3 linked regions of the Saccharomyces cerevisiae S288C genome follow. The protein of the gene in region 2 binds, or shares a complex with, the protein of the main gene of each other region. Each region holds a gene or a part of one and is shown on either strand. Other genes may lie near its edges. The genes, in order: UAF30, RRN9 and RRN5.

Region 1 (3,297 bases), on a different chromosome or scaffold from region 2:
AAGTTTTTATTTCCTGAAATTTGTGCCAACTTCCCTTTTAATATACGTAAAGTTGCCTGTACTATATCGCGTTCCGACATATCGTCTTGTTTGTCAACCACTAGTTTCTTCCCATGTTGCGTTTGCTGATGATTCGTTTTGTCAGATAAAACCCTTGACGTTCCTGTCCTATTCGATAGCAAAGCTGCTTCTTTAAATCGCGGTTCGTTGATATAATCCAACAAAATTAGTTTTAAAGTGTAAAGATAGACATCTGATGTTGGTAATTCGGTATTAATGACGTTGCATATTGACGGTATTTCCACGGATACATCAGATACAGTAGATGATAATGTGGAGACTGTTCGATTCATAAGTTTCACACTAGCTGCAAAAGCCCTATAAAATGCCGGCTTATCCTCTTAATGATGTGAGAACGCTACTAATATTCAACTAGGAGCAGAGCTATTCGCCTTTCTATTTTCTACGTAGGTATATATATACAAATCTCTACATACTCATGTATCTTTTCACCCGGGAATGTTAACGTTACAAATTGTAGGCAGCTACCGAAAAAATAAGGCAAAAGGACTTTATAATAGAGAGGCCATTTTTCATTCCTATAGTGTTGCCTTAACAACACAAATTTCAACGCCTTGAAATTTTCATGATATCCTTGATTCAAATGCCCTTTGTATCTGATTGCTCGGAATCTGAAACGATGGGCTTTTCCTTTCTACGGACTTCTTGGATAAGAGGAGGACAGTCGCTTATTTTTTTAGGCTCTGTCATATGACTTGCCAAAATTTTGTGCATCTCAAACATATTGGTACTCTTGCCAAGTATTAATTCTAATTTTTCGTCGCACAGTATTTCTTTCTTGTTGTTAGGATTCTGCAGATTATGCGCTTTAATATATGCCCAGAGTCGTCGTACTACTTCGGTCCTCGTCAATTCATGCTCTCCTAGCAAACTCGCTAATGATTTAGATAGTGTAACTTTTCGTGTTGAAATAGGTGACTTACTAACAGTCCCTTTTTTCTTCTCAACATGAGTACCTTTGGTTTCGCTATCGTTCTTTTCCTCTCCAGATGATCGTTTGCTTACGGTAATTTCCTTGGTGAGCTCAATCGCCAAAGTAGCATTTTCCTTTAGCAGATCCTCAAGAGATCTTTCGAAGCGCGGCCTTTCTTTTACAAGATCTAGATGTTTCCTAATCAATTTGTTAATTGCTTTTCCCTGTGATTCAACGTCGATTGCATATACTTCTTTCAAAGCCATCCTAACCTTTTTAGTTGTGACCGTTTCCAAATCCATATCAGAGAGAAGAATATCGATCATCGTACTATAATCGTTTAATTCAGCCATGGCAACGCAAAGAAAGCTGTCAACGAACGCTTTAGTACTTGTTAAAATTTTCACCTATCTTATTCTGATCTCATCTTGGACTACTGCAAAAAAATGTATCAAAATATAGAACGGAATTTTGATGTTTTTCTAATTTACAATTATTTAAAAATATTATAGATGTAAGGATACGTAGATGTGAGGTTATGCTGTAGTTAAAAAAAAGGTTAGCGGATCGATTGGGGACGCAAGTAGGAAGCAACAACGTCTTTCACTATCATAAGGCATTCTTCATATTTCTCCTTTGTTGTTTTTCGTTCTTCTTGACTAAACGTTTTCTTTCTGCCCTATTCAAAGTTCTTGGATCGATCAATTCATTGTCAGTGCCTTTTACTTTATCATCAACTTCCACCAACCATTGATCATCTAACTTCTTATTTGCGCCCTTGTAGCCCCACTTTGGAACCCATTCACCGGATGCCTCATCATAAATCATCTTTCCTGCCCTTTCCTTTGGTTTAATACCCTTCTTAGCTGCAAACTTCTCCCATTTGGTCATAGCCTTAGCCTTTGGCAGTGGCTTTTCTCTTGGTAAGTCAGTGGTAGGGTCAGGAAGCTGCAACAAGGTCATCACGGAACTTTGACCGCCGGTGCCACCTACAGACTCCGTTGTTGTTTTCATAGGTAGTGATAATAGTTGATTGATTAGTAACTGAACATTATCACGAGTAAGACTCTTTATCTTTTCTTCACGCCTAGCATTCGAAGAATCTAAATCGTTTTTATCCAAGACATTACTATCGAATGCTGCCAGGTTACCCAAATCGTATACCACTGGGATAGGCTTTTCAACGGTGACTGGTAAGTTCTTGTAATCTTCTGCTGACATCTAGAATAGTATATAGGTATATGCTGTCTGGATATACGGCTTAGTCGATGATATAAAGTACACTAAGAAACGACCCTTCTGAAATCAAACTGCACTTTTTTTGTTAAAGGCTCATCTCATCACTTGGAAAAATTTTTATGCGTAGGGTGATCGCGAAAAAAGTATCTATTTCGGCAAGAGAAGCAAAAGATGATGAAATTACTATTTCTGAATATTATAGTCGTGCGCCGCCATTTGCATTGTAAAAGCTACAGACTATCACCATGGTATATATATATATATGGTGATTATCTGCTATATACGACAGAAATACCATACAAACCGTTTACTCGGCAACCTTGACTTTGCTTTTGATTTCACTTTATTAATTAAAAAATATACATAAGTTCAATGTAATTGAAAGTACAACACATCAAAATATAAACCTAGATATATAGAACCAGAAGAATGTTACAAAAGAGAAAATTCAATTGGAGCTACGAATTCCTTAATATCTTCTTTGTGGTCTTTGAGTTGGGTTTCTTTCTTGAATGTAGGTACCTGGAACAATGTGTTCTGGCAAGTTCAAGTATTCTCTCAAGTATTCAACACCTTCTTCAGTCAAGGTGTAGTAGTAGTATTGCCATGAGAATTGAGTCTTGACGTAACCCTTAGAAGTCAAGGATTGTAAAGCCTTAATGACATACAAGTTCTTGGTGTCAATTTCTTCGTGCTTGGCTTGGTTGAAATCCTTCTTGGCGACAACAACACCTTCTGTATAAAAAAAGAAATTATCATAGGAGAGAATGATGTTTACATCTCTCCGTTGAAATTGAAGATAAGTTAGTAAAAAGATCATATAGATGATTCGTGGTACTCGGTAAGGATCAAAAGTTGGATCTCCGCGTAAAACAGTTTTACCGTTTTCTTGCCCAAATATAGGACGTATACCATATTTCATACGTCTCCAGGGTCGATGGCCTTGTGCTGTCCTTTCGAAAATGTCGTCACACGGTTCCTTGTAATTTCTTCTATGTAATCCACTAATATATTCATAAGAAATCCTTTAACCTCATATGCATGGTATCCATCTGTGTGTTTGA
Region 2 (3,371 bases):
GGAGGAAGCCAGCTTTGTTGTATCTAGTGCAAGTTCGAGTAAAGGGAAGAAGAGAAGAAGGCGTGATGAAGATGATAACAAGGTCAAGAGAAAAAAATTGAAAAAAGATAAAAAGACTAGTAACGACAGTGAGAGTAAGAAGAAGAAGAAGAAGAAAAGCAAGAAGGAGAGTAAAAAAGGAAAGAAAAGTAAGCATAGCAGCGATGAAGGTGATAAATCGAAGCATAAAAAATCCAAAAAGTCAAAAAAACATAAAAAGGAAGAAAGTTCAGCAAGAAGAGATAGAAAGGAGCATATATGATTATCATAGTCTAATATGTAAATATGTATCCGTAAAAGACATTCTTAAAAGTTTGAATTTATGATCTTTTTATTTTTGTATTTAGTCTTTGTTTTCGAACTTTTATTAATATTAAATTTCAGTAAGTAAATTAAAAGAACATCTTTAAAAGAGTATATTTATTGTTACATATGTTGATCTTAAAAGGAGATGAATATTTCTTAATGGAAAAAGGTAAAAAAAAGATTTTCTCATTCATATGTTCCCATTAGGCAGTTCTATGAGGCAGTCGTCCAACTCGTAATCAGAGATCTCATTCTCATCCTCTAAGTAGCCCTTTACCTGAAAAAATGTTCTTTTGTTTAGAGCATCTTCCGTCTCTTCACGATTTAAGCGTTGTAGCTTGGATTTGTCCTTTGATGTCAACCGTTTATCCTTCAATAACTTTTCCACAGGTATGAAATCTTCTCTTGTTTTACTTAATAGCTCCTTTAAGTATGAACTGGTCTTTTTTGGCTGGTGATACTTTTTTAGAATTTGTTTGGGCAGTCTGAATTTTCTCTTTTTATACTTTTCTGGGATATCGTTATATAGCTCTAATGATTTCATGTAGATATCCGTCATATCCTCGTTCATTTCACAACCTCTTGAAACCAAGTCATGATATGTGTATTTAATTCGTCGATTGGCCTGCATGGGCTCGTCGTCTATCTGATTCGCCCTTATATTATTAGAATGCTTATCTTGCCTTACATCGAATTCGTTCTCTTTGGCTATTTTATCATGCAACCCTTCGAATAAGCTGTCCAGTTTAACTAAGATATTCCGGGATATTTCGTTTGGAATGTTCAATTCATCCACATCTAGAGTTACATCATGGTCCAAGGCAGACTTAGAGAGAAATTTTTGCCATTGAGCATCCAGCTCAACCCTCATCATATCAGAGGCGTGCATTAAAGCCCTATTTGAGATCTCCCCCGGCTGTACGCTTACATTTGCAATACCTTCCGGTATATCTTCATACAATTTGTCTACACTAGGGTCAATAATTGTATTGGGATTAGGCCAGCTCGTCCAGTTATCCTTAATTTGGGTCTTCACAAACTGGTTTACTTCATAAAAATGTTTTTTTTCATTTGCCTTATACAATAGTCTTTTCAAGAGGTACGCAGAGTATAAATGCAACGAAAGGTCGACTCTGTGCGAGTGTTCTAGAGAATCTAATAATTCATTTGCAGATTTCAAAGTCTCTTTATCAGCGGTTGTAGTGGTAAGCTCAGATCCTCGTATAATATCTTCGATAGGAGCATCGATCTGAGTTTCAATTTGACTTTCTTCGTCAAGATCACTCATCAAAACCCCACGTAATGTTTGTTCTCAAATATATTTCGTCGTCCCGAAATCAGCACAGTTTTATAATGCAACTGTTAAATGTCTAGAGAGAAAAAACCGCCGACACATCAATATTTTCACCCTTTATGGCTAAACTTGAGTGTGATTCTTGCATCTGAGTAATCTTCAAACACGAAAGGCCTTTTTGTTTATTTTGTAGAAGAAAAATATTTTAGTGAAAAATTATGGAAAGTAGTAGAAATCCTCTCAAGTGAAGCATGACAAAAAGAAAAGTAAGAAACCTTAAAAGACACTAATAGTTGATGAATTACTATGCGAGAACTCACGTAACTCCAACAATAAAAAGCTATTTACGTATACTGATTAAAAAAGAATACAAGAAAAATTTATTCTTTCCTATACAAACAATGATAATCAAATGGTCCATGTCAGTTCTATAGTTCATATACCATAGGCCTTACGGTAGTTTTCAATCGCTGATTTTTGCTCTGGTGATAGTCTATTTCCCATAAATTGTACCACTTGAGTCAGTGATACAATACTTAGCACAGGAACGTTGTATCTCTTTGAAACAGATTGGGTAGCACTTGTTCTTTCCGGATCAGATTCATGAATCACTTCTTGCCTATCTAAAGCAACAATACAACCCACTACCCTACCTTGAGCAATACTGATTATCTCAAATGCTTCATTGATTGCAGTTCCTGCAGTCATGACATCGTCGATAATCAACACCCTCTTGTCTTCAAGCGATGCTCCAACAATAATACCACCTTCGCCGTGGTCTTTAACTTTCTTTCTATTAAAAGCATATTGAATACCTTGAAATTTAGTGCCCCCGATTTCTGCTAGTTTAACGCATACAATAGCAGCCAAAGGGATCCCTTTGTAAGCAGGTCCGAAAATAACATCGAATTTAAGCTCCGATTGAATGATAGCAGTTGCATACGCGGTGGCAAGGTTTGCCAACAGCTTTCCAGAATTGAACAAACTAAGATTGAAAAAATATGGCGACTGCCTGCCTGAATTCAGCTTGAATGACCCAAATCTTAGTGCTTTGCATTCTAATCCCAGTTCAAGGAAAGTTTTTTGATATTCCTCTAAACTTGTAGTAGATGCAGACATTATTGGATTATGTTTTATTATTCTTGATGGCTCTAGGTCTCGACTATTTTGCGTGACACTTCCTTAGTTCTTAATCTATATAAAAGAGCCTGTGATGGCCTTTTACCCTAGATTAGGAAGCGAAGGGGCCTTTCCCGAAAGGTTATGTATGACTCCCTTGAAATGCATATGATAATTAAAACCAAAAAATGTTATGTGATTCTGAAAGGAAATGCTGTCATGTGAGTCAGGTGTAGAGCAGGTTAGAACAGTTTATATTACATAGTCTGAAAGGCACGTGAGAAAGTGCCATACCATTAGCCGAATACGTGAAATGTCTAAAAAAATACAAGTGAAAGAATAAAGTGCTAAAAAAACTATCAGGCTCTCAGAAGGCAATTTAGCCATATGTATACATATATATGTGTGTGTATAAACCTCATATAAGGGGCCCCAATGGTTTATCTAAAGGATATCCTATTAGGACTTGTCTGTCACACGCAAAACTTCAAATGACATAATGATGAGCACTTGTCAAATAATTGAGTAACTTCTTCGATATCTCTGGTATGTAAAAATAAGTATATCGAGATGAGCGATTGTATCTGTATAGAGGTTGGTTTCTTTTTCTTAC
Region 3 (3,573 bases), on a different chromosome or scaffold from region 2:
ATGGGTCAAAACATCAGTCAATTGGTATTGCTGTATTAGGTTATCTGGTAAAGAAATGTTGATTTTTTTCATAAGATTCTGATATTTGTTTAACTTCCAGTGTGACTTGAGAAGAAATTCTTGGAGGCCTTTTTGTTCAGATAACCAAGCATCCGGATTGGTCTGGTCGAAATCAGGTAAAAGATCTTGAATGTAATCTGACGTGATCTTATAGTCTGTCTGGCATTGTGGAGTTCTTAAGATAACAGAATTTTCTTGTAATTTCAAAAGAGGCCTCATTGAGGTGGTAACAATGTTATCGAATTCGTCAATCTCGAACCAAATCTGCAAAAAAGGGGACGAGGAGGAGCCAGAGGTGGGCGGCACAGGAGTGAAGTTCAGCTGTATGAAGGATTGATGCGCATTTGTTATTAGATGTTGATCAAGAGGCACAGGCACAGGTACGGCTGATGATGATGATTCTTTGTACATTGGTAGATTCAGTAATTTTGAAATAAAACTCTTATGTATTAGAGGTTGGAAAATACTAGAAAAAGACGCGGACTGTAAGGAGTGACCTAGCGTTATTGATAAAGATTGGGAAATAGAGTCGGAAGGGGAGAGAGATGGTATATTTTTAGACAAGGAAGATTCGAATTGGCTGACCTGCGCATCTGTCAATTCTGGTGTGGCGTTTTCAGTGGGAGTCATCAGATCTGTGCAATTTTTAGGGACAACTGACTGTAATCTTGCCCAATCTTGTGACTTGTTTAGCCAGTCCAAGTTCTCTAGAGTATTGTTGAACGGATAGAGTTCTGTCTTGAGTGCTGGTGAGGCTATTGTGTGGTGGTGTTGAGTTGTGTTAGGATTAGAAGCGACGGCATTTAATAAAAAGACTTTGGCCATGGATATTTTCTTGGTGCTTAGGGCTGAAATCTTGTACATTTGCAAGTCCGGGAGGTATTCAAAAAAAGTGTGAGTTTCCTTCTGAATAAGGTTGATGACGTCTTTTGATGGCATGAGGGAATACATACGCACATTTTCATGAGTGATGTTTGACCATATTTTGTTTAAGGATATTTCTGCGTATTTGAGCAAGCTAGGCGAACCCTTGACGGTCAATTCGTTATCCTGAATGGAGATGATGAATGTCAGCCCGAGCTTATTGAAGTTGGTGAGTATTTTACCATTTTGAGTGATGAGTAAAAGGAAAATTTCTCTAGGAGAATCGAACTGGAAAGTCAATGATGTGGACTTGATGCCTGTGGGAGTGGTGGGTGTTGAAATTGGTTGGCAATTCCAGATTTTTTCAATTATATATTGGGACAGCTTGCTTTTCTTCCAGTGCGTCAGATGTGAAGAGGAGTCTGGCTGATGTGTGGAGATGAACTCGCGCAGTTGGTAGCGATTGTAGCTTGATGTAAGCGATTGGAGAAGGGCATTGTATTCCAGGGAGGGCAGACTGGCGCTTGTCGGTTTCTTCAATCGGATGGAGTTCAATGCGGAATCTAGTGAATTCTGCTTTTCGAAGACAAGGAGTTTCGAGCCGAAATCGAGGTTGTTATCTCCAGTTTCCTTATGGCTACGTTTCTTAGACGGCCTGTGTCTAGGCTGCTTCTGATCATTTTTCACTAGCCCAGATTGGGTAGGGTTCAAGACGACGAATTTCAGATTTTGCGGCAGTTTCTTCTTCCCATGAAGGGGCGAGCTTGGGCCTGAGCTTGAATAAAGACGGTAAGTAAGACGGGCGAGCTTTTTGTTGAATTTCCACATATGCTTACTCTATATTTTCTCCAGTGCCTTCAAGCTCCGTATATATTATGTACTAGTTTTATTACATTAAAGATACATAACTTTTTTTTTTTTTTTCAGTTCACTGAAATAAGAAAAGGCGGGCGAGGTGAAAAACAAAAAAAAAAGTATAGAGAAACAGAAGTGGAAGAAGAGCTAGGAAAGCACAGCGCATACGACGGTCACCTAGGATGGAGCACCAACAATTGCGGAAGTACGTCGAATTGTACAATAAGGAGGTCGAGGAATTCTACAATGGTGCCGCGTCAGGCCGCCCAGCTGAGTTCCATCCTTCCAAAGTACATGTAAAGAGCATCCATGAAAAGGCGGGTACCGCCAATGCTGGTGTAGAAATCTCTAGCGTTGGTGTAGACTGGGACAGCGAGGAGAAGAATACCTTTTTCTGGTGCCTTTCACGCTATAGTATCCACCGTGTAGACGAGTGGCGCTCATTGTTGCCTCGGAAGAGCGCCATGGAGATTCTAGGTTATTACAGGTTGTTAAGGAGAGCGAGTGCGAGCGCGAGATCGCGTAAGGCGGGTGACGACGGAGCGCCCATTGCGTACGAAATGAGCGCTGAGTGGGTTGCCCTGGAGACAAAACTGAGCGAGACAGTGATGGCCATCACGGAAGGCGCAGCCGAGGTTGCCGATGAGGAAGGACACTGCGAGGGCCTTATCGATTATGAAAGCTGGAAACGCAGGTGGGTGGCCATCTACTCGCACAGCCGTATCGCGGAGATAAGACCCTTGCCCCGCCACGCGCTGCCGCTATCGCGCAGCGCGACGCAGACTTTGGAGCGCTGCGTAAGTCGCTACACACGTACATTGCTGTGGTGCACGGCCCTTGCGGGTATGGCTTCCCGCAGCGTCAGCGCCAGGGCGGCCGAATCTCGAGGACACAAGTCGCTACCGACGGTGGTAACTCGCCGGCAAGTTGAGCGTGCACTATGCACAGAAGCCCGATCACGTGACCTACACGTGCTTCCAAGGCGCATTGTTTTGACACTGCGCAAATGGGAACTAGACTATCCGCGAGAGGGCAAACTGTTCCGCACCAAGGAGATGGCACATCTGTTTCTACAAAGCCAGTTGTCCAGACGGGATGCGCCCCCAGTCCATCAAGACGAAAATCAAGAAAATCAAGAAAATCAAGAAAATCAAGAACAAGATAACACTGCAAGTGAAGGTGAAAGCGAGGCAGAAAGGGATGAAATCGACGAAGCGGACTTGTTCCGATCAGCATTACATGAAAATCAGTTGCTAAAATGGTTATCCAAATGAGACACAATGCGAAAAATCGCGCAGGGACATAATTTTTGTTTTCATTATTCTTTCGCTTATTCCCTCCGTTAGCTCCACCGCTTTTTTGATTGGAATTTCCTTTCGGCAATGGCTTTCCGGTTACCACGCCTCGGGTTTCGCATCCCGAAAAGCATATCTACACAAGAAAAATGAATGATAAACAATTGATGAGTGGCGCTATTTCCCTTATCATCTCATTATTGTACTTAGTATCGTCTATTATCAGGAGAAATCGCATGAACTAAGCCCATTTTCTCACCCTTCTGCCTTCTTATATAAAGCTTGCTGGGAACCGAACACAAACTCCACAAGTCCGTAGCAGCTCTTCTCTTTTGTCTTTTATATATCATAAACATCGCTACATAGTAATAACACTAACGCACGCTAGAAATGATAGCTTCCAAAAGCTCCTTATTAGTTACTAAATCGCGCATACCCTCTCTATGCTTTCCTTTGATAAAGAGGTCCTATGTGTCAAAGACTCCGACACACTCTAACA

The links.
Region 1: RRN9 (region 2) and UAF30 share a complex: the UniProt entries of both Saccharomyces cerevisiae proteins name them as parts of the UAF (upstream activation factor) complex.
Region 3: RRN9 (region 2) and RRN5 share a complex: the UniProt entries of both Saccharomyces cerevisiae proteins name them as parts of the UAF (upstream activation factor) complex.

The regions. Positions count from the first base shown.
Region 1 is NC_001147.6:867,258-870,554, reverse strand, and holds UAF30 (Uaf30p), read right to left. Parts: upstream 1,348-3,297; coding exon 661-1,347; downstream 1-660. Other genes in the region: YOR296W (uncharacterized protein), read right to left, coding at 1-353; ribosome biogenesis protein RRS1, read right to left, coding at 1,604-2,215; YOR293C-A (uncharacterized protein), read left to right, coding at 2,408-2,557; 40S ribosomal protein eS10 RPS10A, read right to left, coding at 2,703-2,968. UniProt on the Saccharomyces cerevisiae protein: Nonessential component of the UAF (upstream activation factor) complex which interacts with the upstream element of the RNA polymerase I promoter and forms a stable preinitiation complex.
Region 2 is NC_001145.3:804,791-808,161, forward strand, and holds RRN9 (Rrn9p), read right to left. Parts: upstream 1,634-3,371; coding exon 536-1,633; downstream 1-535. Other genes in the region: TMA23 (Tma23p), read left to right, coding at 1-301; orotate phosphoribosyltransferase URA10, read right to left, coding at 2,075-2,758. UniProt on the Saccharomyces cerevisiae protein: Component of the UAF (upstream activation factor) complex which interacts with the upstream element of the RNA polymerase I promoter and forms a stable preinitiation complex.
Region 3 is NC_001144.5:421,722-425,294, forward strand, and holds RRN5 (Rrn5p), read left to right. Parts: upstream 1-1,961; coding exon 1,962-3,053; downstream 3,054-3,573. Other genes in the region: SLS1 (Sls1p), read right to left, coding at 1-1,752; PUT1 (proline dehydrogenase), read left to right, coding at 3,465-3,573. UniProt on the Saccharomyces cerevisiae protein: Component of the UAF (upstream activation factor) complex which interacts with the upstream element of the RNA polymerase I promoter and forms a stable preinitiation complex.